4 linked regions of the Caenorhabditis elegans genome follow. The protein of the gene in region 4 interacts with the protein of the main gene of each other region in a pairwise test. Each region holds a gene or a part of one and is shown on either strand. Other genes may lie near its edges.

The links.
Region 1: the proteins of gla-3 (region 4) and unc-42 interact in a two-hybrid assay, tested with the Caenorhabditis elegans proteins (one large-scale study listed by BioGRID).
Region 2: the proteins of gla-3 (region 4) and oma-2 interact in a two-hybrid assay, tested with the Caenorhabditis elegans proteins (one large-scale study listed by BioGRID).
Region 3: the proteins of gla-3 (region 4) and ets-4 interact in a two-hybrid assay, tested with the Caenorhabditis elegans proteins (one large-scale study listed by BioGRID).

What each region holds. Positions count from the first base shown.
Region 1 is NC_003283.11:9,762,858-9,771,940, forward strand, and holds unc-42 (Homeobox protein unc-42), read right to left. Parts: upstream 6,500-9,083; 5' UTR 6,413-6,499; coding exon 6,362-6,412; intron 6,309-6,361; exon of another isoform or gene 6,171-6,308; intron 5,493-6,170; coding exon 5,378-5,492; intron 4,896-5,377; exon of another isoform or gene 4,823-4,895; coding exon of another isoform or gene 4,810-4,822; intron 4,674-4,809; coding exon 4,586-4,673; intron 4,176-4,585; coding exon 3,995-4,175; intron 2,289-3,994; coding exon 2,232-2,288; intron 2,182-2,231; coding exon 2,006-2,181; intron 1,960-2,005; coding exon 1,788-1,959; 3' UTR 1,677-1,787; downstream 1-1,676. UniProt on the Caenorhabditis elegans protein: Probable transcription factor. Required for initial outgrowth and pathfinding of axon growth cones along the ventral nerve cord (VNC).
Region 2 is NC_003283.11:8,026,791-8,032,768, forward strand, and holds oma-2 (CCCH-type zinc finger protein oma-2), read left to right. Parts: upstream 1-2,648; 5' UTR 2,649-2,718; coding exon 2,719-2,756; intron 2,757-2,804; coding exon 2,805-2,960; intron 2,961-3,008; coding exon 3,009-3,230; intron 3,231-3,274; coding exon 3,275-3,422; intron 3,423-3,467; coding exon 3,468-3,684; intron 3,685-3,729; coding exon 3,730-4,130; 3' UTR 4,131-4,424; downstream 4,425-5,978. Other genes in the region: F43H9.4 (Glycine N-acyltransferase-like protein), read left to right, coding at 1-125, 974-1,115, 1,172-1,383, 1,499-1,607, 1,655-1,716, 1,765-1,927; vars-1 (valine--tRNA ligase), read left to right, coding at 4,666-4,754, 4,797-4,873, 4,920-5,041, 5,087-5,978. UniProt on the Caenorhabditis elegans protein: Zinc-finger RNA-binding protein that binds to 5'-UA[AU]-3' motifs in the 3'-UTR of maternal mRNAs to suppress translation in oocytes and embryos.
Region 3 is NC_003284.9:6,516,483-6,524,089, reverse strand, and holds ets-4 (Transcription factor ets-4), read right to left. Parts: upstream 5,155-7,607; 5' UTR 5,059-5,154; coding exon 5,043-5,058; intron 4,984-5,042; coding exon 4,912-4,983; intron 4,859-4,911; coding exon 4,710-4,858; intron 4,296-4,709; coding exon 4,212-4,295; intron 4,161-4,211; coding exon 4,121-4,160; intron 4,008-4,120; exon of another isoform or gene 3,799-4,007; intron 3,644-3,798; coding exon 3,497-3,643; intron 3,451-3,496; coding exon 3,259-3,450; intron 3,128-3,258; coding exon 3,042-3,127; intron 2,935-3,041; coding exon 2,859-2,934; intron 2,807-2,858; coding exon 2,705-2,806; intron 2,658-2,704; coding exon 2,298-2,657; intron 2,244-2,297; coding exon 2,176-2,243; 3' UTR 1,434-2,175; downstream 1-1,433. Other genes in the region: Homeobox protein ceh-60, read left to right, coding at 1,104-1,174, 1,227-1,307. UniProt on the Caenorhabditis elegans protein: Transcription factor which binds to 5'-GGAA/T-3' DNA consensus sequences. Both positively and negatively regulates the expression of target genes. Plays a role in the regulation of adult lifespan, which may in part be through modulation of daf-16 activity.
Region 4 is NC_003279.8:8,212,404-8,219,126, forward strand, and holds gla-3 (C3H1-type domain-containing protein), read left to right. Parts: upstream 1-2,294; coding exon 2,295-2,345; intron 2,346-2,390; coding exon 2,391-2,552; intron 2,553-2,626; coding exon of another isoform or gene 2,627-2,632; coding exon 2,633-2,725; intron 2,726-2,771; coding exon 2,772-3,107; intron 3,108-3,164; coding exon 3,165-3,285; intron 3,286-3,631; coding exon 3,632-3,984; intron 3,985-4,059; coding exon 4,060-4,135; intron 4,136-4,195; coding exon 4,196-4,654; intron 4,655-4,726; coding exon 4,727-4,975; intron 4,976-5,030; coding exon 5,031-5,170; downstream 5,171-6,723. Other genes in the region: Protein dhs-3, read right to left, coding at 23-119, 173-444, 658-753, 799-872, 1,663-1,780, 5,612-5,884.

The sequences.
Region 1 (9,083 bases), on a different chromosome or scaffold from region 4:
GAAACTGGCTAAGTTACGACCAAGTTTTCTCTGATTAGTCAGGGCTTCAAGATGAATAGAACAGTTGTATATGTGAGCATGAACGGATTTTTGTATAGGATTTGTGAAGGAGGTAAGGTACTATGTATATTAGTAGTACTATAGGATTACTGTAGTTTTGGAAACAATGAGTTTCTGTCTTTTGAAGAAATACTGGCTTGGGGTTAGTAAAAGGTTTGATCTGGGTACTGTAGTAGTACTGTAATAACGGTAAAACTAGCCGAATATTCACATGAAAGGAGGAAGGCTTGAGAGGAGCGGACTGAAACTTTTAAAACTTCATAGCATAGCGCCATATTTTTGCTGAAAATGGGAGTACGTTAAAAGTATATATTTGAAATCAGCGTTGACAGAAAAATATTATATCATTTTGAATTCATAAAACAAAAAAGTATGAAACTTTTCGTTTTTTGCGAAGAGCTGGAAGCTCAAAACTTCCGCAACGGTGCTCATAATTATCGTATTGAGCTAAATCTTTTTTCCCTATTTATCATAGCATTAATAATAACAATTAGAGCATCAAATTGAAAATTTAACAAAAAACTGGTCAAGAAAATAAAAATTGTGAAACGTTTTGGATTTTTGAACGAAAAACGAAATGTTTTCTTAAATTTTTCTTCCAAAATTCACAAAGTTCACAAATTGTTGTCTTTTTCATATGTTTCCAGGGAAATATTTAATAAAATCTTTCGAAAAATAAAATCTACGTAAAAATTTAAATAATGATGCCAAAAATCTAACAAAAATACTAACGTTAAACATGTTTAACATACATTTTTCGAAATGTCAAGATTTTTCAGGTCTAATTTTTAAATTACTATAACTTTGCTTGCAGTCATTTTGATCAAACTGCAAAAACTTAACATTTTAACAATTCCAGACATATAGCTACCGTATCAAAAAATTGTACCAGCACCTTCTGCACTGTGCAAAAAAGCGACATGAAAGACGAAAACGTTTTTTTGTGTTTTACACAAAATTTCTCCTACAAGACAAAACCACATAGAATAAGCATTCAGATAATAAGATAGAACAGTTATTTCTACTTAACTTACTTAACTTTAATTCGATTTTGCAAAAAATTTCATGGAAGGAAGTTTTGATTTAAGATCATTCATAGAATCACGACTAAGATTGTCCACAACGATTCACCGCCACCAAATTCTATTAAGAATTTATCTTGTTCCCTAATGGAAACAAAAAAATTCCTTTTAAAATGGGCGGTTCATGTCATTTTTATTTATTATGTTTTGTGATAACAATACCAGAACTACTGAATGCAGTGTGCTGAGAACGAGTACGCTACTGAATGCAGTGTGCTGAGAACGAGTTGGCCGCGCCGTAGGCGCGGTCAGCGGCTGGTAACCACATAAAATACGAAAATCATTTTTTTTTGGTGTTTACTCAAAATTTCTCTAACAAGACAAAACCAAATAGAAGTGATTTTGTGACACGCGGAACGGGAAAGGATCCGGATATTTAATACAGGAAGAAGGCAGATAAGTTTTGTAAGATTGTATTTATCATCAGTCGCGTTAAACATTCCATTTCGTAGACTTCCCACTCCTTTGTGATATTTCTCAACATTTTTATTGGAAACCGTTGTCTTTTTGTAAATGTACGTACCAACATTAGTCTATCAGTGAGATCTCTTTATTATTTGTTCAATTGATTTCACACGCAATCATAAATTATTGGATTTTCTGTTAACTTTGGAGATTAGAAATGTCTGGTTGTAATGTTAATGACTAGATTGAAGGAGGGTTGGTACTAGCTTCAGATGGTTGTGTCTGCTGGTAGTTAATATTAGCAAGTGAGGTAGCAGCTGTAGCGGCCGATGGTGTCGTCGTCATTCGAAGTGCCAAACTTTTCTGGTAGAACTCGTCGTCAGCTTGGAAAGAGGTGATGGAATGACCGAAACTGAAATTAACGAAATATTTATCCCACAGTAAAAAGACGAACAAACTTTGCAATGGGATTAGTGAACGAGTTGGAATATGAAGGAGAAGCTGTTGGGTATGGCATTGGTCGTTGATATGATTGATACCAAAAACCGTCACGATTCAATGCAGCTGGGTACATTCCTTGTCGCATCAAAGTATTCGCTGGATTGGATAGGAATGAGTGCGGGGGATTGATTGCCTGTAAATAACTTTTTTGATGAATTCAGAATATATTCGTCATCTTCCTACCTTATTCAATTGTTTTTCATGCTTCCGATGTTTTGCTCGCCGATTTTGGAACCACACCTGCAAACAAAATTGGATTACTCGAGAAATTAGTGGGGAGTATGAGTATGATCAAGTCAGATCTAGAGGGATGGAGTAGAGACAGCCAGGTGGCAAAACTGTTACGCAATAAGTAAAGGAAGTGTGAATACGCTACAGTAATCCTGAAATCCTTACATCTAGAAACAAGATATCTAGTAATACATTAGTGTGTCATTGTTTTTTTAATTTTACGAATTGGAGTCAGAAATGTATTTAAATTTATAATTCTACGTTAAACATTGTATTTAAAATTATCAGGGAAAAATGAATAAATGTGATTTTGGCGCAATTTAGTAATTAATTAAAAACGCAATTTAGTATTAAAATAATGTATACTGTTGGGTATATACGACAACCAAATTCTACAAGATTGTATGTAAACAAATAATTGGAGTATTTATTTCAGATTCTACAAAGTTCAAAAGTATCTTAATACCCACACAATCCAACCAAAGAAAGTTTTTAAAAGTCACGTCATAAAGTATTACTGTCTCCGGATCTTTAATCCTTCCTTTCCTTTTCTGTTCCTCGCTACACTCTCTTTTCTTTTTATCAAGTCCCTTCATTTCCTTTTTCTGTATTTCTAAATGTTGATAGACTGCTCAAGAATAAGGGAAAAGCTGTGGTGAGGAAGGATATTGAGAAAGCGGCAAAGGCAGAGCATAATTCAATTTGCTTGCCTCCTAACAAAGACGCCGATGTTGGAAGAGAAGAAGACGATGGGTTACGGTAGACTGGTGATAGAGAGTTTCTTTTGAACAAGAGTTTTAGAGATTCAAAGGCACTAGTTTTGAGTTGTTATTATTATTATTATGAATATTTAAAAAAAAAGGATACCGTATGACGGATATGGAAGTAGGTAGACAATGAAAAAAATCAGAAAGGGTGAGAAGTTTTAAGCATGTATCATTGAATCTAGGCAAAGTTTTATTTGTTTTATTAGAAAGTTCAGAGAACTCTATAAATAGAAAAAAGTTCAGAGAACTTTATAAATAGCAAAAGATAACTTACATCAGTAGATCGCAAAGAAAACAGTCAGAACTGAAAGCTTAATCACCAAAAAATAGAAGCTTATTTGAAGTCAAAGATGTGCTGAAAACATTATTGGTAATTCCACAAAACCGTCAATTTAGGAACGATAACCCATCTTTTCAGCACTAAGAAATAAAGCTCGAAACGCAGAAAAAAATCAGATTAATTCGAAAATTATATTCAATTTAGTTGAACAATCCAAAAAACTATTACCGGCTGAACATTGTCGTTTACCAAATATGTGTGCATTCTTTTCTCTACAAACGGATACTTCAAAGAAATTCCTTCATCAAACTTTTCAAGATGGTTTTTAATCAATTATATATTATTTCTGTACATCTATGTTAATTTTTAATTTTAAAAGTTGTATAAGTTCCCTATTATGGCAGATTGACTTTTTTGTCTCAATTTGTTCTTCTCAGCTTCACAAGCTCAATATCTAATCCCTACCAGATGTGTGATGGTGCGTGGTGGATTTAGCGCACAGTAGGTGACCAGGAGGTGGTAGACAACTATCCAAAGGCAGCAATTAACGCGAGATGAATACCAATAAGAAGTGAGGAAGAAGATAAAGAATATGAAGAAGAGAAAGAAACAACAAATTAGAGCACATGTCTCACAAATTGAGCATACAGTTTAATTTCGAAGCTCACCTGTATTCGAGCTTCATTCAACTTGGTGATCCTTGCCAATTCCTCTCGAACGTAGATATCCGGATAGTGACTCTTTTGGAATGCAGCATCAAGCTCCTGAAGTTGTTCCTGAGTGAATGTCGTCCGATGTCTCCGCCTGGAATTGAGACGCTCTGATTCGGGCCGTTCTAGGCTACACAGCCTGCAATTAAGAAAGGCCGTGGAGCACTAGGTGGGTGGGGGAAGGCAAGAAAATACGTGAGAAGTACGGTAGAGTTTGTTGAAAATTAACTTGACTATTGATAGAAATTGAAGATATGAAAATATAGGCGGCACAAGTCAAATTTTGGCTCTTTCAAGTTGTATAATTATATTTGGCTTTCTAAATTTTTAAATTTGGCCAAATAGTGGCCAAAAAAATAATAAACGCAAACATATTTTGTCAAGGGTTTGGTAAATAGCCAAATTTACTTTTAAAAAACTGGGTTTTTGGAGTAGTTTCAATAAATGAAATCTAGATAACTGCCTTATTTTGACATTGAATACCTACATACATCAAATCCCTTCTACATCTACCGTACCCCTATCTTCCAAAATATTAAGAATACTCACCTTGCAGGCGTGTTCGTGACCCCAGCAATCGAAGATCCAAATACCGAGCCACCGAGTCCTTCGGTTTTAATCTTTTTGAAGGCGCCATCTGCAACATCACCAGTTTTAAGGCTTAAAAATGGAAAGTGGGCAGATGTTCGGAGGAATGCAGAATTTCGAAATTCTTAGTGTGAATTGCAAGGAATAATCAAAGAAATATGACACCCTTCTCTACATTGTCTTACCATAATAATACATTGTTAGATTGAGTTGTTAATTCCTAAATCTGCTCACACAAGTACTAAAATAGTAAATAAGAAGAGAGACACTTCGCGCACAAAGTCAAGACTAGTGGATACAATAGAACGGATGGATAAGAGTGAGCATCTGGCAACAGGCGTCATAATTGGCTCGGTGGCACATGCTCCAGAGATGTGAAGTACCATTGAGGAGGGGAAGAGCAAGGCGGGGGGACATGGTAAGGGTATCAGTTGTACTAACACAGCATGATACCTTTGGCGGAAGCTATTGCGCAACACTAATAAAGAAAACACTTGAAGTGGTTTTTGCTGAATCTTGGGATAGGTGAGAATATCAAACGAAATAATAAGAGAAGCTCAGGGTCAGAAGGACCTTTTGCTCAACCTAGAAGGCACTGATGCAAGGAATGAACTGGCATGCGGACGACGAAGGAGAGACATCAAATATGATTCCGCAAATCTGATATATTCTGATGTAATTTTGTTCGCCTTGCTAAAGCGAAGCTCCTCCCTACCAGTGTAGAAAAAAAGAAGATGGAATGTAGAGACTAACCTGATGATGGATCCGAAATTGGACGAAGACTTGCCGAGACTGTATCCAAAGAGCTCGGATAGTAGGCAGTGAAATCGTGAAGAGATACTCCAAGATCTTTCACTTTTTCTTGGAACTGAAAATATAGATCATGATGTAGGTTCCAGTAGAACGTTTTTATACTAATGTAAGGTGAATTGAGGAATCTGTTGGAATCGATTAATGGAAGGACGGTAATAAGGAAATCCACAGTAACACTAGAACTTTAAAGTAAAACATAACGCCAAGAAGACTAATAAAAATTCAGTGACTTAACAGTTTTTCAGCAGAGATTCTACCGGCTTAAGATCTATTTTTCAAAATGTTCGGTTCCACTTACAAACTAATATAAACTAATACAGTTGGTTTTTTAACTTTTTTGTGACTAAAAAATCAGACATCAGTGTCGAGGTATTGTATGATCATTATCTAGAACCCCGTCCAACATTAGCTTCTTTAGGATTGAACACACCAAGATCAGATCTTTAGCGGTGTTTGTGGTGGGACTTTTAGTTTTTTCAAACCCATGTCTAAAGTTATTTCTTGTGAATTAAATTATTGATGTCCATGGTACGGTAGTCTGTGATTTTGATTTTAACATCAATTAAAATGGCGAGCTGAACAATAATTCTAGGGAAATTGGAGGCGAGAAAAGTTGGAAGGCTATCGATACCAGCTCCGGAAGACAACTGAGGAGGTTTGTGTGTGTGTGTGCCACTGATCGTGAGAGCATCTAACAATCAAATTTCCATAATGAATTTATGAGGGGAAGACACACACACACTTGGACTCCTCCCAGTCGTCTTCCGAAAAACGACAACGTCTTCAGGAGACGAAGAATATTGTGCGCGCCAGAAAAGTTAATTATGGAGCTCTCGGCGACGACCGACGGCGCCACCAAATCGTATTACTGTTTATTTCGTTTGCGTCGAGGGCCTCGGAGACTAGAATTAGTTAGCAAATTACCTGTGAGACAGTTGATGCTCCGTTCGCACCGTTCAGCAGATTGTCGCTCATTGTGTGAGTGAAAGCGGAGAAATGTGGAAAGTGAGGGGTGACCGAAGTCGTTGTCGACGTCGTCGTGGAGGCGGACAGGGTTGCTTCTGAAGAGAGGGGCAGCTGACTGGTCGCCGTCCGCCTCCGGCTGCTCCTCCTCCTTCACCACCGGCCCCAACCACCGTACCCATCTTTCCGCCAGAAGAGCTAGGTAGCCACGCCTTCTTTTTGATTTGGATTGGTTTGAGAGAGTCAAGTAAATTAGATTATTTGACAGCTTCTTCTTTCCGTCTTCTTATTCTTCAACTGAGCTTCTACACTTAACGGCAACGAATTCAGTGATCGGTGGAGAGCGAAAGCTATAATCGAGTTTGGACGGACTCTGAAGCCGGGTGGCGATAATCGCAATTAGAGAAGCAGTTCAACTGGCGAACCCCACACGAACACACGGACTAAATCCAAATTGGGTTGGAAAAATTGTGGGTTCGATTTGAAAGGGGATTTAATTTGTGGTTAAACTAAAATACTCAGTTACGCTAAAAATAATTAATTGAATTATTTAAACGTAGAAATGCTGCGATATGTTTAAAAAAAGGGAAATGTAATCAGAATGTTTGTAGTCATTTAATAATAACAATAATAATAATTTATTACGTTCTTGAAGAAGCGTGAAAAGAAAAAAGATGATACATACAAAGATTCATGTCGGAGGGTGGACTGGGAGATTATGGGCAAAGTGAAAGAACCTGAGGCGTAGAAAAAGAGCATGAGAAGGAGTAGGATAAAAAAACAGGAGATATCATAGGATAGTAATGAATGAATGTTATTGATCAAGAGTAGATGTCGTTCGTTTCCTAACTTAGTTATCCTTGTTTAAATTAGATAAAAATTTGAGGAATGACGGTTGGCTTAATGTTCTGTTAACGAAGAAATGTTTCCTAATTTTAAATTTACATCTGCTCCAAGAGAACTTTCTTTTACAACGCGTTCTAGTGTTGTCCGAGAAGGTAAAAAATTCAGGTACTTTCAGATCTATTTTACCGTTTAACATTTTCAAAATCATTTTTTTATCGGTTGTCAGACGTCGTCCTTGCAGCGGTGTGAGCCCAAATAATTCATTTCTTTCTGTCGAGGTTTTATATTCCGGATCACTTATTGAGACGTATTTGCCTACAGTCCTACTATATAGACGCCTTGTGAACGAATTTTGAACTGCCTCGATGGCTCCTATATCTGACTGCTTTGGTGGGCTACTTATAACGGTTCCGTACTCTAGCAAAAGCACAATAAATGTTTTATATAATAGGATCATCAGCTTTGGTTTGTTACTGTTATAATGGTTAAAAATTTGTGACATTTGAAATTTCGAGGAATTAATAGCCTTTTTCCAGTGTTCACTAAAATCCAGATTATGAGAGATCATAAAACCTAAGTCACGTGTCGTTGACTCTTTTTTGATATCCTGGCCGTTTATCTTATAAGTGAAATTTTGGCGTTTTTTCCCTATCGTGAGATGGACGGTTTTTTTGTTCATTAAGAGCCAATTTGTTACTGACGGACCAATTTGCTACTCTGTCTATTGCTTCTTGCAGACTATTAATCTGGTCGCCTTTTGGCGTGTGTACATACAGCTTGGTGTCATCTGCAAACTGCTGCACTTTAACATTTGCGGGCAGTATTGTTGGGATCTCATTAACGTAAATTCCAAAAAGAACTGGTGAGAGTACAGCGCCTTGCGGAACCCCACATTTAGCGTTTTTTACAGTAGATAGTGTATTTCCTATTTTAACTCTAAATGTCCTTTCTATTAGAAAACTATTGATCCAGACTATGATATGTTTATTCAGTCCCAGGCGTATCAGTTTATTGAGGAGAATGTCGTGGGGAATTCTGTCAAATGCCTTGCTGTAATCTAAATATGACGTCAATTTGGGCTCCCAGATCTAGGTTGCTTGTCCAGTCATTCAAACTATTCATCAGATTAGAGATCGTTGATTTTGTAGGTCTGAACCCATGCTGGTTCTCATTCCAAAAATTGATTTCTCTAAGATACGGTTCTATTTTTTTCAGTAAGCATCGCTCATATACTCGACAGATATTTGACGTGAGGCTAACAGGACGAAAGTCTTTTGAGTCTTTAGGTTTAGTAGTTTTCCCTAGTGGTATAACGACGGATTGTGCCCAAGCCTTTGGCACTTCTCCTCTCATCATGCTCAAGTATATTTATTGAATGATACTAATCATTATAACCTCATAAAACAAATTGTAATTACCGAAATGATCTATTAAATTTAGAGAAACTTTTGAGTAGAACACATACGGCCAGTTGTTTTTGAAAGTAACCATATTCAAGATAGCGTATGTTTTTTTCATCAAAATATTATTATCAAATGGCAAAAAGCGGAAAAATTATCTAGCAATGAGAAGTACAACAGTATAGTTTGAAATTAAATTTTCAAACTTAAAAAAAATTAGACTGTAGAAGTCATTTGTGAGTAAGTGGATCCATTAATTTATTTTTGAAAGCAGACATTTCTTTGTAGAATTTTAGCAGATTTATTCACTGTTTCATTCCATTTACCCAATTGGAAGATTATGGTACGGTTGCGTCCAGGTCTATAAAAAGGATGACTTTGATCCTGGCTTTTAATTTTATCAATTTTCAAAGTTGATCACTTGGATCAAACCAAAG
Region 2 (5,978 bases), on a different chromosome or scaffold from region 4:
TTCGTTTATCATCCAATTCAATTTGAGATTAATGGTACTTTCCCAGCTACAAAAACTTCTTTATTTTCAAAAAATGTTAATGGAACTACTTATTGGCTTGCAAATATGACAAGTCTGTATGAAAGGTTAGTTTATTGAAGTGAAGTAGTGCGTATACAGTTCAGATTCAGAAATTTCGATCAGACTGTTTAGTAAATTTATTAGGGTAATTCTAAATTTTTTTGTATAGAAAACTGAACAGGTAATCCAAATTCAAATGTGTTCCATTTATTTTGATACAAATATAGGTGCCTATAAAACAGGCTTACCGCCTGCCTAGATAAAAACTATTTTTCAAATTAAAATATTCAGACGAGTTACTTTTTTTTTGCGGAATGTGTATTGGTTTACTTGGTTTCTAACGTACCGCTAACCAACTTAAACTGAAAATTCGAGGAAAATAGGGAGAAGAATACTGTAGATATATAAAATTTCTACAAAATTTAAATTCTTTTTACCAAAACCCAAAAATTTTCGAAAACGAACGAGTTACTGTACGAAGTTTGTATATATGCCCGCATAAACCTAGATAAGTAAGGTTAGAAAGCAACTTGAAATTTTCAATGTAGAGAATGTATTTGACTTGCCAACAACTTTGCCATTTCCTCCCGTTTCAAACTACAAAAACATGAACTTTCAATACATGGGACAATTACTTTATAAGTAGGTACACGCGACCCTAAACTTTGTTCACTTTGAAAAAAAAGTGAATTCCGTTTTAAATGTCCATGGCTGACTACATTTTTCCGTATCTTCACTCATGTTTTTCCGATTCGACCGTAATATTTGATAAGATCAAACATTTCCATGACAATCCATTCCTAAACCAGTTTTTCTTCATTTTCAAAAACATTTTTCAGTATCACTAAAGACCTTTTCCCACCTTTTGCTATCTCTTTTTTTCAATTCGAAATTGACCTTCGCACCTTTTCAGAGACCGTCAAATTCTGACACACGATGGAAAGTTTCGAGAAGAAGACTTTCTGGCGGTTTTTGATGAATTCTGTAAAACAAATGGATTGTTTGCTGGCTCCAATGCTCCATCAACTGTAGCCGAGAAATGTTACACTAAAGCGGTAATACACAATGAAAACAGAACAAAGGTTAATAGATAAGAAACGTTTGATTTTAGATTGAAAAGTACATGAAGAAAAACAATATTAATGCAGAGGTGCAAAACAAATCAACACACTTTTTTGCAATGAATGAAAGTCAAATTTTCAAATATAGAAATTATGGTGATACAACATTACCTGATGGATACTCAATTGATATACCTGAATCAACAAATGATGTTATGAAGATTGTAGGATCATCTATCACACCAAATGCAAAATTAGTAGAGTGAGTTTTTGGATCAGGAAATTAAAAACCAACAGTACTAGATTTATATCATTTTCTCACAAAATCGAGAAATCGTAAAACAACAGTTACATGGAAAAATAGGAATTTTTTTCAGAGAAAAACTTCGACGGTTCCCATCGCTCTGCGTTCGTAAAGGCGACGAACTTGTTGGATTCATTTCTTCAGAAACTCACGGAGCACTTGCTCATTTGCATGTCTTTGATGTGAGTTTTACTATTTTCAAATTGAATATTTTCAAATCTGTTTTTAGGGGCATCGTGGTAAAAATCTTGGAGAGAAGTTGGAGATTGGAGCTGCTAAAATGGCTATTGAGTGAGTGATTTTTTGACAAAGGACTGTGGAAAAATGATAATATTTTAGAAATGGAATGCGTCCATGCAAGTTCATCGACACAACAAACAGTTTCTTCTTGGAAAAAGCAAAAAAGTCAAAGTTGATGGATGTTGTTGAGTCCAATGGAACACCGCTAGTTTTCGACCAAAATGTTTATTCCCAGGCGTCAAATTATGGAATGCACAAGTGATTTTAATAGGAATACAATGAACTTACAATAAATCAAATATACATGTAAATATTGAATAAAAATTCGAATACCTTCCAGCAAGTATATTTGCAAAGTAATGTTCTTTTACAGCTAGATTTTGGTCAGACAGTGTTGTTGAAAATTTTTTAGTCGAGAAAATCTAGTTATTCGCTGTTTATGAGTTACTTTTTCAGACAATTACACAATTTCCATGCTTGCTAAAAAAAAATTATTAGTTACAGTAACCTTTAAAGGCGCAGCAGCGGGGAGTGCACATCTCAAACGAGTGTGACCGTAGTCATTGGTGAAAATTGGCAACATTTTCTTGCAAGTTTTTTGACTTTGATTCAACCATAAATTTCAGACTTAATTCTAAACTTAAGTATTAAAAAATAATTATTTGATCTTATTTAGCGCGCATTGCCGCCAAACATTGACTTTTTGTTTCGAAATTTTGGGACAGAGATGGTTTTCTTCAGTTTTCTTTTGTTCAACAACATTTGGTTCTGTTCATTCATTTATTTCATTCAGAAGGATTTTGGCCCGTTTATTTGAATTTTAAAAGAGCTTATTTCTGAATTACGTCGCTTAAAACAATAATTTTATACCGTTTTGGCGCATTCGTTTTTTCTCGTTAAAAACTTATTTCTTTCATTCTTTAGACGGTTGTTATTCATTGCTCGCGGAATCTTACCATTTTTAAAATTTCTTTAAATTTCAGGGAATCAATTAACCGAGCACCCCACGCCTAATCACTAACCACCCATTTCCCCTGCACTACTAACGAAATAATGGATATGCTCAAGGAAAATGTTATCCAGAATAATGAGTGAGCCACTTTTATCATAGTTTCTCAATTTTAATTTTCTTTTTTAAGGGCTCGTACAGAGTCGAGTGTTGAACCATCGCATCCCGATATGATGGAGACTGTTCCGGAAGAACAGCAAAAACCGATTTCTCATATCGACGATTTGCTTTCCGAGACCGCTAACCTGATGGCTGTCAAGGAGCAGCTTCTCAAGGAGATTGCTGAGTAATTCTATAGGATAAATGGACTGTTTCTTAAATTTTATCTTCTCAGAAACGAGCATATTCATTCGATGCAAATGAGAGCTCTTCAAAATCTTCCACAGGAAGCTATTCTCCCACTGCAATATCATGCTGATCCAAGACGCCGTCACCGAATGCAAAAACCGGAATCGTACAAGACTGTCATATGTCAGGCTTGGTTGGAGTCGAAGACATGTGCTTTCGCGGAGAACTGTCGTTTTGCTCACGGCGAAGAGGAGCTTCGTCCATCTCTGTTGGTTTGAACATTGAATTAAGATTACACAACATATTTTACAGGATCGAGGCACGTCAAAACAATAAGTACCGGACGAAGCTCTGCGATAAGTACACTACTACTGGGTTGTGCCCATATGGAAAACGCTGTCTTTTCATTCATCCGGACAATGGACCAAATGCATACATTCGAGCCGATAAATTGTTCGAGGTAAGATAACTTTTTAATTTTCCACTTTAATCAAATCTTCAACAGGTTTCGCAACGTCATGCTTTGGCCGACCTTCGCGATCAAATGGAGCATCATATCATGAATGGAGGTCGTTCTACAGCCGGCCCTCAACAATTTGATATGTTTGCAAGGCCATGCACACCAGATGAGCCAGCAGCAAATATGCCATTGGGTCCAACCCCAGTTAGCATTCGTGGACCACGATACGAGTTGCCATCGAAGAAGCCACTTGAGACTGAGGGTATGAAAATTGAATATTGATGATTAATTCAAAATAATTTTACAGAAGCCGGGAATCGCCCACCATCAAGCTGGCCGTTGGATCCATCAACTTTCTTCGCATTGGATAGTCTGAATATGGCAACTCGTCCAATCAGTCCGTTTGAGTCTATGCTTATTGGAGCAGCCGGGAACATGCAATACTCTATGCTTGGAAAACAATCAACACCGGGAGGAGTTTCGGGATATTCTTCCTCTGGATCAACTCCGTCTCAAGATAGTGATTCGTCTCCACTCACAGCTGCTTCTGCTGCTGCAGATGCTGCCTGCCAAGCCAACTCGGAGTCTGCTCAGTCTATTCTTCTGAAGTCTATCAACAATCCGATGATTGGAAACGAGACAACTCTTCCAATTCCTGGACTTGATCAACTTGCCATGGACATTGCCAAGCACCTTGAATTGTGGTGAATAACCACCTCCTTCCCCATCTATTTATACATTTTGTCAAATTGCCATACGTTTTTATGTCCCATACTAACTATAATAACGCGCGCAATTTGTAAATATAATAAGCTCAATGTTCCTGTCATATAGAAAGCACGCTCGCTCCCCCCATCTCTCGCAGGCTCTGAAACTAAACTTGAATTATTTTGCTGCATTTTATTATATCGGATATCATTGCATGTATTTTCAATTCCCTCCAAATATAAATTGCTCGTATCCTCTCCCCACACTAACAATCAATAAACTTTATCGAATGTCAATCAATGTTTTTGAAGACCATCTGGAAATAACGTTTTTTCACGAAGATATCTGATTTTCAATTATAGAATTGCAAAATAATTTCTGAAATGTTTCGTTTGACAAAAAAATATTTTTTAATCTTCCCTCCAATTAGTTTCGCGACAGGGCGCATTTGCTTCGTCCAGACGAGCGTTAATTTTTCAACAGATTGAGCGCATTCTTTCTTTTAAATTATTGTTTGTGGTTTCAGGTGAAATAAATGGGTAAATTGAATCGATTAGCACTTTTTCATCGTTCAAGAAGGCAATGTGCTTACTCACCGACAATTATTACACGTGAAAGTAGTAGGTAAACGATAAACTAAGAAAATAAAATAACTAATTTTTTCAGCTCCTTTAACATCGACGAGGTAACACAAAATTTTGAACAAAGAACAGAGTTTGCCGCTGCAAATTATCGAAAGAATGGTCAGATTTCCTTGATAATAGTTCTAGGCAAAAAAATATTTTTCAGGCAGTCTATTTCGTATGGTTTTACCCCCGCCAAACGTAACTGGTAAACTGCATTTGGGACATGCTCTAACAGTTGCAGTGGAAGATGCTATTTGTCGACACCAGAGAAATCAGGGAAATAAAGTAAAATTTCACGAAAAATTAAGATGCTTATTTTTATGTTTTCAGGCCGAATGGATTCCTGGATTTGATCACGCAGGAATCGCCACACAAGTAGTCGTGGAAAAAATATTGGCAAAAAATGGAAAGCGACGACTTGAGATGACACGCGAAGAGTTTGTGAAAGAATGCCATTTGTGGGGTGAAAAATGCTCATCTGAAATTCGACAGCAATTGACTCGAATGGGAGCTTCTCTCGACTGGACTCAATCATATTATACTCTCGATTCAAAATTTTCCGAAGCCGTCACAAAAGCTTTTTGCATTCTTGAGCAAGAAGATTTGATTACACGTGGCAAACGATTAGTTCATTGGTGTCCAACACTATCATCTACATTATCGAGTCAAGAAGTAAATCGAATTGATGTTCCATCTGATGGTTACATCAATTTATCGTCGTCAAGTGGAACACGGAGAAGAGTGAAGTTCGGTCAAATGCATGTAATTAGATACAATCTGGTAGATTCTGAATCTGAATTCATTGAAGTTGGAACAACTCGCCCAGAAACTTTGTTCGCGGATGTGGCCGTAGCAGTTCATCCAGAAGATGATAGATATTCAAAGTTCCACGGAAAACATGTTTGGTCTCCAGTAACACCGGGAAGGAAACTTTTCGTAATTACTGATTCAGCAGTTTCCGTGGAAAAAGGAACGGGAGCTGTAAAAATCACACCATCCCATGATGCTCTTGATTACGAAATTTGGAATCGTTGGATATTGAATGCTGGACAGAATACAATCGAAGAGTTTGCATGTATTGATGCTGAGGGAAAAATGACAAATTCTGGTGAAGATTTTGATGGAATGGATCGATTTGAAGCCAGAGAAAAAGTGATTCAAAAATTGTCAGAATTGGGAAACTACAACGGACTTATGAAACATGAAGGTGCACAAGTTAATA
Region 3 (7,607 bases), on a different chromosome or scaffold from region 4:
TCAAATATTGTTTTTTTAATTTGTGTTCTACAAAAAACTAGATCAGGAACTTTATTGAAAAAAGTTTTAGAATACCTCGAAGACATTTAAAAAGTGTCAAGCAAACACATTGTTTGTGCTTAATCGAATTCAGAAAAAAAAACACTAGAATTAGGATGTATTGAAAAACGGAAGATTGTTAAAATTCCAAAATTGAACAAAAAATTAGAGTGGAAAAAAAGAGTGGATAAATAACTTCAAAAGTTATATTTGCAAGTTTGCTCAATCCGTTTGAAGACGCATAAATCAGAATCCTAATAAAGTTTTAAAGTTTTTTTTTTTCGAAAATATCTAGTCTAAGTTTTGCCAATACAGCAAATTTATGAAACATTTGGTTTCACTTTCGAAAGATTTAAATATTTTTATAATTTTAATCCAAAACACAAAGGAGAGCGGTGTCATTTAATTTTTCTCTATTTTAATGTGTTGAAGTTCCAATAATATTTCAATTAGTAGATTTTAATTGTGTCAAATTTTTATTATTGACAAGCTGAAATAATTTTAGAAAAAAGTAAAATAATTTTAAATCTAGGAAAAGTCCACATTAATTGTTTGAAAACAAATTTTAAACACTTGTTTGTAAATGGTACTTACACGAGCAAAAATTTAATTTGAATTGAAAACGGAAAACTTCCCATTTTCAAACTTAAACATAAAAATAATCAGTCTTAAAATTTTAAAAATTATATATTCTAGAAATCTTCCTTTTACTGAATACTAAAAATTCATCATATATCAATTTTAGAAAAAAAAACCATATTTATTATTTTTATCGTTTTGTGAGATGACGTTTTAAAATCTAATTGGTGATTTCAAAAAAACTTTCACATCGAGAAGGTTATTTTAAAATGTCGATATATTTGATGTGTTGGCATTTTTTTTTGATAAATGTAATTATTTTCAGGTTTTTCTACGTGAAAATTTCAAATTTACATTCATATGTGTCTTATAGTTTCCGCAAGTATCAATCAATTTCAGTTGATGATTTTTGTGTTTTGCATTGCGATTCCCATGTAACCGCAAACAAGCCATCCGTGGTCACCGCTTATCTTTGCTCTTTTCAGCGTTTCTCCATCAGCCACACTATTTTACTGCCGGAGGACAAATGTCACTCAATGATAATGGAAATGGACAGGTAGCTCAGCAAAAAAAGTATTGACGTAATGACCCTTCGTTCTCTGTTTCAGCAATTCTTCACAGATTATGAGACCTTTGGACTTGCACAATCGGATACAGAGTCGTTCAATCAAATGGGATATCTAGGATGATCTACTTTGATTGAGAAATTAAATGTTGAATTCGAAATTCGTTGTGTTTCATAATTCATCTTTTCAAAGCTTTCCTTCATTTTCATGTTTATCTTTAGTTTTGCTAAAAGCCAAGTTTTATATTTTGAAAAAATATTTATCTGGTTCATTAATATATAATACAATCTGAATAAATAATTGCACAATGATATAAAAAAACACTGGGACTACACATTGTTGTAATACAATTTCTTTGGGGGATAACTAGGCTAGTAAACAGGGGAAGGAGGCTGGAGTATAAATGGAATGTAAAATTAAAACATTTTTTTGATACAATATTATAATTGTTATAATTAACATAATCATATTGGTATAAATACAATCGGGAACAGTTCAGTAAAACGCTTATTTTTCTGTCACTGGTGGATATATGAGCCGTTATTTGGTAAAGTATTTGGGAGAGAGGAAGAGTTCTGACATGAGAACGAGAATAAATAGAGAACAACATATTGCACGGTTTCAAACCGGTAAATATTGCATTACAATAAATAAATCGAGTGAAACAATATTCAGACATCTGAACTACACACTCTAAATGGTAATAACATTTGTAATACTTTTTGATTGTTCCCAACAATTGAAAAAGAATGAGAAAAAAAAAGAAAATAAAGAAGTTGAATAAAACCTTGAATGATTGACTCGGGTATTAAAAAGAAGTATGGGACACAATAGGAATATGTTCTACAACGAACAGTACATGGAAGTATATCTTGAATCACAGATATCGGGAAATGGGACCACACTGGACCGACAGGACAAGTTGAAAAATGTAAACAGAGTATTGACACATACACAGATAGCAACACGTCGTTGTCTTTCTGCCAGATGACTACAAGTTATAAGGAGGCAGGAATTTGTACACCAAACGCTGCTTCTTTTCCGGCTTTTGGATGATTCCTGGAATATTGATTTGTAACGTTTTTGTTTTACACTTCCTCCTATTCTTTTTACCTTTCTTATAGTACTGTCGAAGACTTCTGGACAACTTGTCATAATTCATCTGTGAACGGTTTTTTCGTTGTCCCCAATATCTAGCCAGCAGGAGGGAAGACTCGATTTTAAAAGTTCCCTCATCTCTATCCACCCATCGAACACATGCACTGTACTGTTTTGGTTGATCCAAAAGCTCACGAATAAACTGCCACAGATGAACAGTTCCTTGATGACGAGTGTAGGCACGCTCATCGTCATCTCCCTCGCTTCCGTTGCACATTGCGTCAATAGGGGAGTTCATGTAACCCTGGTTGTGAAAGAAGTTTGAGAAACCACAGTTCGAATTGTTCATGTGAAGATCAATATCATCGTCATTCACTAAAAAACTCTGAATTAGTTACAGTACTAATAAGCCCGTGTCATACTGTCTTGACTGCTCCCATTGCTGCTGGTATCGCTGTTGCTTGGCGATGGCAAAACAGTTCCCTGTTGAAAGAAGCTGCTCATCGACATGTTTGGATACCCTCCTATAAATACAATTTACTTATTCACATCAAACGCTTCCGGTTCGAAACCAACCGTTTCCATTGAAAAATGGATGATTCGGGTTCTCAGCAGCTGCCATGTTGTTTGTTTGATTGTTGGTGCTGGCTAGCTAAAAATACGAGAAGGCTTTATGAAAAAAACGCATTGAGCAAATAGGGGTACAAAAAGACTGCGCGCCGAAAATTCTGAGGAATGACATAATCAACATTTACATACCCAATTAGTTTTTGACTGCATGTTATTTTCGGCAGCGGTCATTCCGGAGCTCTGAACGGTCACGGGTGGATGATAGTTTTCAAATGCTGAAATTGAATTGGATTGGTGTCTCGTTTTCGTGTGAGCATGTCACTGATAACCGTCATGATGACAATCAGAAAAAGGGCGTGATTTATAGTCATGCTAATCGCATCACCTTTCACGTAATCTGACGTACCGGTCTTCCACACTTGGAGTTGGGCATGCAACGTGTCGCCTCCCGCCGGCAAAATCATTTCGAAATCTTTTTGACTCATGCCGAGCAAATCAATACCAGTGATTGAACAGTTTCTAGGCGGCTGAAGATTGAATTGCATGCACATCTCGTTGATCCATCGTGCTCCATGCTCGGATGACCACAGGTAGAAATCTAGAGACCAAAAATATAAATGAGGTATTGTGGATAAGTAATGTACCATTTGGAAGTCCCAATTTGGCACAAGTTGTACTGATGTCTTGAATCAGATGACGGAGAATCAGGTCCCTGTAGATGTCAATTTGCTGGGTGTCAAGACCGTTGTCTTGCGCAATCTCCGGATTGACATTGAAATTGAGAATGTTTTCTGGAACTTTTTCGTGGTAAACATTCAAACAACAAGCATTGATGCATATCCATGTATCACCCGCACTTTTCTAACCCTGACACATTTCCATATCTTCCTAATATCTAAGCCCTTTTCTTTTTTACTTTGTAATGGGTCACAACTTTGTTTTCTATTGTGGTTAGCCAAAGCAGCTTAAAAAAACATGACCCCGACCCACAACTAATTCGGTAGCCGCTTGGAAAACTTTCACTGGTCAATCCAGGCGTGCCGTCAGCCAGAGAAAAAGCTGACCTGTGCCTAACTACCCTAATCGAAGGAAAACGTGTTTTCTCAATAGTATCTCCCGCCAAACGAAATGAGATGTTTTTCGATGAAGGGATAGTGAAAGTCCGAAAGGGAGAAGAAGGCGTTAAAAGAACCCGAGATTATGATTGACACCATTCAAAACAGTCGTTAATGGTGTTTGTATGTATCTAATCCATCTAAAGTACCAACCTTCAATCTCATTCTTCACAAACGTGCTGTGATCGGCGTCCTGCAAATTATAATAATACAGAGGGGTCAGTGTGATAATCAGTAAAACTACCTTTGAGAATCGACGGTTATACTCGATGGGTTGGATTGGAAGATTGCATGGCATATCCATCGGATGTGGTTTGACGTTGTTTACCTAAAATAGTTGTACATTGTGATTGTTTCCAACGTGATTAAAATGCAAAAAAAGTCACTCAAAAAATTATTTCTCTATTTTCTCCATCAATCGGGTCTTATCAATTATCGCATCTATGACGTAAATAGCACGCACGTGTCTTACTGTGAAAGAAAATGAATATGAGAACAAATAAAGTAAACTAAATTTCAAAATAGCAAAAAATTATTGAAGCTAACTTGCGTTTAAAAAAACATTGATGATTCAACTGATTGATAAAAATGAGTAAGGTGTGTTTGTTACTCTCATTTTCCCAAAAACGTTCTTATTTCAAACTTCAATTTTGGTAATCATAACCAGTTTTCAGAGCAGGCATAAAATAATTAACGCAACCACACCCACATGGTCTCAAAAAAGAAGAAGACAAAAACTTACCTGGTCGATTCCGAATAGATCATCATCAAATGGGAACTCGCTTTTAACAAAAGGAGTGCTTGCGGTTGACTCCGTTCCGGAATGTGGCTCCGGGCTCAGAGAATTCCATCTGTGACCGACTGAGCCAGTACCGTTCATTGATGAAGAATCTAGAGTGACAAAATACTATTGGAAATATTATAATTCCAACCGTCAGACTTACAACTTCCGTACTTGTATTCCAAGTTGTTGAACGGGAACGCGAATTGGTTCAAACCATGAAATTGGGTCTCGCCTGGAAATTAGAAGATTTATCTTTCAAATAAACACTATGATGAGAGAGGGTATACGTACAATAAGCAGCAGTCATATTGAACAGTACAAGTGAGATAGTAATAAAAGTTAGTACTGAAGATGGTAGGTTAAGTCGAGACCGAAGAGTAGTGTCGACCTGTTTGTGCACTAGAGTAGTAACGAATAAAGTGGCACTGTTAATCAGTCAAATTTTATTTTATCGCTAATTTTCGCTATTCCCAACCCCTTTTTTTGCTTCGACTCGGAAAAGTTATCAGCAGAGCGTCAAGCGATTTCTGGCGCGCGTGAGGTTGACTAGTGTGACACTCCTAATCATTGCCTCGCTCAGTGTCACATGAAACCAAGCTTTTCCAGAAATAAGCTGATAAGTAACAAAATGAAATTGATGGCGCCAATGGAAAACTGAATTGAAAACTCGATGATCTATTACACGAAATATGTTTGTTGGAGAGTTAGCATTGATTGCGTCAATTAGGGGGCAAAAGCCCATTTTTATCAGTGAATCATGTTGCACACCAATTCAATATTGAATTGAAAACTGATCTAATTGCTGACAAAATACTGAAACGTCATTAAATAAAACGTGAGAAGAGTTTGAAAAAATTTGTGGTTGAAAAGACGATATCAAATACATATTCGCAAGACATCGACTAAAAAACTAAAAAAAGATCAATCACTGAGCCGATCGAATATAATAAAATAATAAATAAAATGTACTGAGCTTGAACAAAAGTGTGGGGGTGGGGGGGGGGGGGGGGAAGGGTTCTAAAATTGATGAGTCAGGTTGGTCGTGTCAGACACGATGGGACCTCTTTCAATGGTGCAAACTACGCCGCGCCATCCCCCCATAATTCAATGCAAATGAACAAACCTTTTCTTATTCATACTACATAAGGAGTACAGGTAAAGAAGAAAAAAGAATGTGCATTGTGCACAATTTTTTTCATTATAAAGAGTTAGGATGTCATGAAAATTGGAAACAGGTTTATTGCTAGAAATTGGGAATGCACGTCATTGAATAAACAAGCTACAACGTGGCGGACCAGAAACATGGGTGAATCTATAAATTGAAAAATAATGACACGGTTGAAATGTTTTGAAATGTGTTTCAAGTCTATACTAAGTAGTGGACTCTAAGGTAATAAGTTTTAATAACTAACAAGCTATCTTGACGAATGAAAATCCTAAGAATCAATCGGTATGAAAGTGCACACAATTCTCTCTGGAATTGTGATGATGCGTGGGTCGATTTTTGCTCCTATTTTTTTTTTGATTTCATTGTCCATTAACGTTCCCTGGAGTCAAAACACATTTAGCTGGCTGATGTTGCAAAGAAATTATGACGCACTGTCTGATTTTGTTTGTCGCCTTATAAACTTGCAAAAAAATTACGTATTTGATAATATTCTGATATGCTCAACTTTTGCATTTCAGTGCCACAGTTTAAGCCATTGATAAGTCTAAAATTCTCGTGATTGATTACGATTTGCATCATAAATCACTAAATCATGTAACCCGTGTTTATCGCTGGAAAAAAGAAAACATTTAAAAAAAGTGAAATTTGAAGCAGCGAACTAAACTGCTGATAAAAAAGCGCACTCAGCAATTTTTTGTGAGCTGCCTATCAAGAAACAAAAGGGAAATGAAAACTTAAAATCATTGTGAGAATTATTGTTTTTTTTTCACATGCGTTGTATCTCCACAATGACAAAAATACCCTGCTGTCGCGAGAATTATTTGACTTGGTGTTTTGTGCTTTTCGTCAAAAATGAGGCAGCGGCAATTCGCAGAGGTCCAGAGCGCCTGAAGTCGTTTTGCAAACATCCAAGTGACCGGCTACCGTACGGCACCAGTGAAGGCTCTCTGTCTGCCAAGCCGAGCGAGCAACAAACAAAACAACTGGCTCAGCTCCTCGGAGCACTCTCACCTTGCGCCACAAGCACCCCCATCTCCCGTCCGATATATATTTTCACACTGTTTGACCGGTGGCCCAATACTTAAACAATGTCATATCGAGGCGGACAGTGGCTCCGATTCTTTGCAATTCGAGGACTGTGAAGGATTTTTGATTGGCAATTTTAAATAGTGTTGGGAGAATAAACAAATAGAGAGATAATCAAAAGTATCGGTATATATGAGAAGAGTCTGCCAATGATTGAAAATATTTTTAGGGCAATAATGATAAAGGGAAATAGCCTTGGAAAAAATTTATTGCCTTCAAGTATCTTCTCAAAAACAGGTCATGATGAAATTTGTTAAAAAAATGGATTTGAACTCGTAAAAATTTTGAGCATACATTAGATTAAACTGATCAAACTAATACAACAAACTTCAACAATACAAATCACTGTTAAAAGTAACAAAAAAAGTTCGATGGCAATGCCATAAAGTATAAAATATAAACGAATTTCGAGTATTTCGAGAGCATTTTTGACATTGAATGCTTGTTGCTCAGTGTCGTCGAAGACTCATGGAGCCCCCTCCCTGTAACCGGCTCCGGCGGCAGCAGCACAAAAAGCAAAAAAATAATTGTGGACAGACCGGGAGGCGGTGCCCTCCGCGCGGCTACCGCGCATACTCTCTTTAACCCAAACACACTCTCGC
Region 4 (6,723 bases):
GAAAAAAATAACACAACAAAATTTAAGCCTGGCGTGACTGGCGTCCCTTGAAATGATCCATAGAATGAGTGATTCCAAAATGATCCCCGTATAAGTTGAGAACTTCAGTTGGAAGAAGTCTGAAAAATCATAAGTACGTTTAACATAAATCTGAAATTCAATAGGAACTTACCCTGCAAGTGCAATAAAAATGTAGCTAAACTTTGGAATTGCAAGGAATGCTCTGTCGGTGAGAACTGCCTCCATTATGCAATCGACAACATATTCTGGTGAAAGAATTGGAAGAAGTGTTGGCCATTTTGTGGCAATTCCATCGAACATTCCAGTATTTATATAAATTGGGCAGACTACAGTAGTCTTCACATCCTTTTTTAATGCGTACAACTCAGACGCAAGAGAGTCATTAAAACCAACAGCTCCGTGTTTGGATGCACAGTAATCTACCTGAAAGCTTTTTAATTTTAAATGTCTTTATTTGCAGAATATTTGGCCTCCCAACGAAACGTATGAAACACCATGTAATCTAAAAAAACAATGTAGGCACAGGGATGCCTACGTACCTATCTACACACAAGTTTTTTTCGACCTTTTGTGTAGACTAACTTAAACCCTTTAACTTTTCGTGGCGCGGTCAACATTTTGTTTTAAATCACTTACCAATCCAGCAACACCACACTTTCCAGCCATTGAAGCAATTGTTACAATATGCCCTTTATTCGACTCGAGCATGCCGGGAAGGAAATTTTTGGTAGTCTGGAAAATTTCGGTATTCTCTTTTCAACAAAAGTCATATCTTACAAAGAACAAAGCATTTGTGTTAACTGAAACAGTCTTGACCATCAGCTCATCTGGACATTGCAGCAACTTTTTTCCTTGAAATGTTTTTATGAAAAGATATTATGGGAATACTAATTTCTGAGAATGCGTATTGCGCAACATATCAGACGCGCAAAATATCTCGTAGCGAAAACTACAGTAATTCTTCAAATTACTACTGTAATTTTTGTGTGAAGTAACAATGGGTTCACTGAACCTTTTCGAAAGTCTTATCATTTTATTTATTTTATTGATTTTTGTTTTCTCTCTTTATCTGGCATATTTCGCTTAAAATGAAAAATATGTAATACGCTAAACTTCGTATGTTTCTAAATCTCTACAGTATGCAATTAGCAAGGGATGTGCTTTTTTGCCAGTGGGTCCCGCCGCGCCATTCAAATTCATTTAATTAATACCATGTGTATTGCGACTCTTCATTGTGTCTTCGAGACCCGAAGAACTCGGGGGATGTCCAATTGGGGGGATTACCAACTCGGGGATTGGCCCCGCCCACAGAACCGTGGCTTGCAATACGCCCATTTCTGCAACTGCCGCACGGTTTCGAAACTGTATTTTTCTCAATAGAGCGAGATTTAACAAGAAAAATACAGTTTCAAAACCGTGCGGCAGTTGCAGAAATGGGCGTATTGCAAGCCACGGTTCTGTGGGCGGGGCCAATCCCCGAGTTGGTAATCCCCCCAATTGGACATCCCCCGAGTTCTTCGGGTCTCGTGTCTTCTACAGGAAAAAATTAACTCTATAAGGAACAAAATTATTATTTACTGTGTTTTTGTATTGTACATGAATTTTTCAGAAGTTTGGATGTTTTCAGCCGACTGTACTTACCCGTCACAATTCCAGCGTTGTTCACGAGAATATCTACTTTCCCTACTTCACTTTTAACCAAATCGGCGGTTCTATTGATTTCTTTGTATTCCGATAGGTCCACTGTGTATGCTTTAGCCTGAAAGATATAGAAATGAAACAGTATACAAATCGCAGAGACGCAGAGAAACGCACAACGACACTCCGAAATGACGATCGCGCGTTGTTTAGCGTGTCATTTGAATTTGTACTTTTTCTCATTTGCTTACCTAAATTTATTCAACTTCTCTTTGTTTCCCATTTTTGAGTAAAATATTTTTAAAAAAGCCATTTTCAGATTCTAAATCGTATTTTTCTGTAAATAGATGAGTAGCTCTGCGTCAAAAACTCAGGAAATAAGGTATATTCTTCGTATGAATAACTAATTGCTAAAAACAAAATTTTCAGCGTCGTCATAGATCCCCGTGATGCGCTTACAAACAGCACCAACGGCAATAAACCAAACGGCCCAAAACCGAAAGTAAGATCAGAAAAGCGGTAGTTCGTGAGAAACTAGAGCAGAAGGGGGTAGAGGAAAAAACTAAAGCTAAAAAAATAACTAGAAATTAGTGTTTAATAAAACATTTTATTTTCTCCATCCTACTCACCCAACCATGCTTTATCAACCATCTTTGTTAAAAAGTCGACTTACTCCTGCTCCGCCGGTAATTTTCGGAAAAAGTGTATTTTTGGTTTATAATAAAATTCAGGGGTTTTCTTTTCAACCTCAGCCTCTATTGAACTCAGATATGGATCCAGTCAGAAATTTAGAAAGTCTAGGGAACTACACGGTGTATCAAGATTCTTCTCAATGTTTTTGGCAACATCAAAATTTTACCTCCAATCGAGAGCATAACCCCGCATTAAGGAAGGTTCTATTTTTGGAAAAACGTTTTAATTTCTTAACACTTCAATATTTTAATTAAGATCTACTCATTCCTTGTAGTTTCAGACAAAGATTTGCGATCACTGGCGACGCTCGGGCAGCTGTTCGTATGGCGACGCGTGCTGGTATGCTCACGGTGAAGACGATCTTCGTAAAGTGGTCAGTTAAGCAGCGTAGGAAACATCAAAGAAATCTGGTTTTTCAGGTCCGGATTGATCGTTCGAACGAAGAAGAGAATGAGCGACCGGCTACTGCTGAAATTCAAAAGTCGCCGACAAAGCGTGCATCAACCAACGTCAAAGGATTAACAGTGAATATTCCATCGAATACTGCCTTCAAAGAACAAAACTCTTCGATGCCGTTATCTCCAGCTCAGGAAAGATGGATTTCCATGTCAATTGGAGCTGTACCACCACCAACCAGCTCAGCTGCAGAGAAGGATGCGATTTCATCATTATCTAAAAACGGTGTCGAGCAAGAACAGGAAAAGAAGCATGAAATATGTTCTCGTGACGATGATATTGACGATTACGGATTTTTGGTTAGTTTTGTAACTTCAAGAATAACTTTCGGTTGAAACTGAACAACTTGTTTTCAGTCTCCGAATCCGTTCCCATACCCGCAACAGTCAATGTTCTCAGCTGGATTTCCATCTCATGGACACCATCAACGTTCCTCGAATCGTGCTACGCAAGGGGTTCCTTCTCAACAATTTGGAGGTATAGAGATTTCACGAGGTTTTCTCGAATTTAATGAAATGAGTCTCAGCCCGCTGAAATTTTTATGGTAGTCTTTTTGAATTGTTGCGGCTGATTTCTCGTTTTCTTGAATTTTTCAAAACAATGACTTAGTTTTTATCAATCTTTATCGTTTTCTATTCATTTTTTTTGCTAAAATTAGTTTAAATCAGTTTTTGGAGTATAAATTAAAAAAGACTATCATAAACTTTTTATACGTCGAGACCCTGAATGAATCCGTGCGCCTTCAAGAAAACATGTCAAATTCTAGTGAAATTACGACAAGTTTTTCTTCAGAGATTTTTTAAATCAAAATTCATTGTTACAGGGCCAGTCAACATCCCTGGTCAAGATCCGAATCGTTTGGGATCTGGAGCATACCATATCCCACCACAGCACCAAAGATCAAGATCCAATGTTCGTACTTCACGAGAGGTCGGCGGTCCCCCTCCGCAATTTCAACAAGCGATTTGGAATGTTGCTGGTGAAATCTATCAACGTCAGAAGGACATAGAGATAGGCGGACAGAGAGTTGGACCCAATGATCGTCAACCGACTCAACAGAAAAATTCGGAAATGGATCGACTTTTGTCTAAACTGAAAATGAAAGATTTGAACTACCTTCGTTTTATGATAGAGCGAGGATATATCAACGAGCGTGACGTGTCTAGGCAAACTTCGGTGAGTGGTGTCTCAGGTTTTTCTTTTTTCACAATTTCTTTTAGATTTAAAAAAATTCAAACAATTTTTGTTCAGAGTGATCAAATGAGTAATGGTCATCACTTCAATGCTCCTATGACCCCACCATACCATCCACGACTTGCAGGAAACGGTAAGATTGAAATCAACCAAATAAATAGGAAAATTGATCGAACTATTGCATACATTTTAGAACCAAATACTTCGGACTGTCATTACCATGGAACTGGAAATCGTTTATCAAATTTCATGCCAGGACGTCATCGTCCCCCACATCAACATCCAATCCATCATCATCATCAGTCACAACATCAGCTACACCAGCATCAGCAATATCTGCATCATGCTGCTCAGCAATACCGTTATTCGCATCAACAGGGACCTCAACATCCGTTTGCGGCTCTTCTCTCACCACCGGAGATCTCGGAGTCCTTGCTCCCACCTGATGACTCGTTTTCGATTTGGCTCGAGCCGAAGCCGAAAAAACAGTCCGGAGCCATGACACGAACTCGCGGAGCTGCGACGATCAACGAATCGAGTTCTGCGGCAAGTCTGCTCACAAAAATGGATGCTCTTCGATCAGACAAGTATCCAATTACAGACGAGGAAATGATGATGGCTAATGATTTTGTGAGACAAGGCGATCGAGATGGTATGTTTATTGGTTAATTTACTCGAAAAATTTCTATAAAAATTTATAGTTCTGAATATCCATCAATTTCAGATAAACTAAGCTCCAGCGAAAGCTCAAGTCCTGTCGTGATGTCTTTGATGGAACTATTGAGCAACGAGAATCTGCTCGATCAAGTAGCAACCGAAAAACCAAAGTGTTCTATGTTCGATTTTGATACTCTAAAAATCGCCGAAACTCTCAAGGAGCCACTGCAATCTTCCGAATGTTCAACTACAACATCAAGCAAGATGACCTGCTCTCCAATGTTCTTTTTCGTAGATGAAAAGACACCAAACTACGGTAAAATTTTTTTTAGTATTTGAGTAGAACCTCCAATATATCGGCTATTTTTTAGACGGCTCAGGATCGAAAAGCCTTTTCACTCCGTCATCATCGGCCGGCCAGACGCCTTCATTCCTGGAACCTTGCGATTTTTTTGCAGCCACCGGATCGTGCCCCTTCGGTGACGCCTGTCATCAGAGTCACTCGATTTAGGAGGACCAGCGATGATTTTAAAGCCCATTATTGTAATCATTTTCTCATTTCTCACCCAATTCAGTTTCTAAATTTTATACTTTATCATTTTGTCCTTTTTCATCGTAATTTTTGTTCTACTCGCAGCTCTTCTTTAGTTTTTTGTATGTATTTAGGGTTTCTTGTAGAGGATATGGATACTTCCAGCTTTTTCCCACCCACATAATCTTGTTTTCCTCAAGTGATACGGATACCATCCACAAAAGTACGATATTCATAATTTAAATTTTGTATTTTTCTTCACTTTTTGTTCCATTTACACTTGTTTTCATTATTTCTAACGAGCCCGCGCCGCTCTTGACACTAGCTTTGTAATAGTAATAGTTAGCTGTAGTTGTAGTAAGTTTTAGCGAACATTCATCTAATAAATCTATAAATGTGAAAAATGTTGCAAGTCCAAACCTCAACTCCCATCGCTTCCAATTCTTTGAGTGTTTCTTTGTTTCCTTGCTCGTTTATATCCCATAACACTAATCTTGCACCGAGTTTTCCGAACTCGAAGGCCATCAATCGGCCTAATCCACTTCCGGAGCCAGTGATCAGCACAGTTTGTCCTGAAACTTTTAATATTATTTCCTTGTGTACGTGATCCGATACCTCGAACGTCTTTTCGTAGTAGCCATCCCATTGGGAAGCAATTTCTAATTGTGGAGATAATAAGAAGACATATGGCATGTAGAGTCACCACAACACTTTCTAGAATATCCTGCATCTACAAAATCGGAAAATTGAGGGAATTTTTAAACCAAAAATTAAAACGTATTGGTTTTCTTGAAAAGTTTCTGGAAAAAAGCTAGAATACAAAAAAAAAGAATCAAGATTGAGAAATCATATAATGAAGAGTTTTTGTTGACTGTACACGCTTTTTCTCTTATCATTCAACATTTTATCAGTGAATAGACCATGTTCTGTAAACATTTTGATAAGAGATGGAGAAATAGTGTTGGAAATGAAGAGAATTAGATAGAAGGTAGAGTGGAGCCGAGAATACAGAATTTTGAAGTTTTTGATTCATAGTTTTGGTCGAAGAAATGCACTGAAAAAAAGTAAATTATTACCCATACGCGCAATGTTGCGATTTTTGAGCCAAAAATACGGTAACCGGTCTCGAGACGCCTTTTCAAATGTAAAATACAAATGTTTGTGCTCCTTTAGAGGGAACTGTAGTTTCAAACTTTCGTGTTTTTGCAGAATTGTCATTGATTTTTCATAATTTTTCGATTAAAAAAATTTATTTATTTAAAAAGTAACAAAACAAAAAAAGCAGGACTGAAAATCCATTGGCAACGAAATTTTCAAATTACAGTACTCTTTAAAGGCGCACACCTTTTCGCATTTAACAGGAATGGGTCGTGTCGAGACCCGGTACCGTACATTTGGAGAATAAATCACAAAATTGATTGAATCGGTAATAACTTTTTTAAACAAAAAAATGAAGTTCGATTTAAAAAATAAATTTAAAAACTTGAAGATCTTGGTAAAAAATCGAAAGAATCGAAAACAATTCTTTGTTT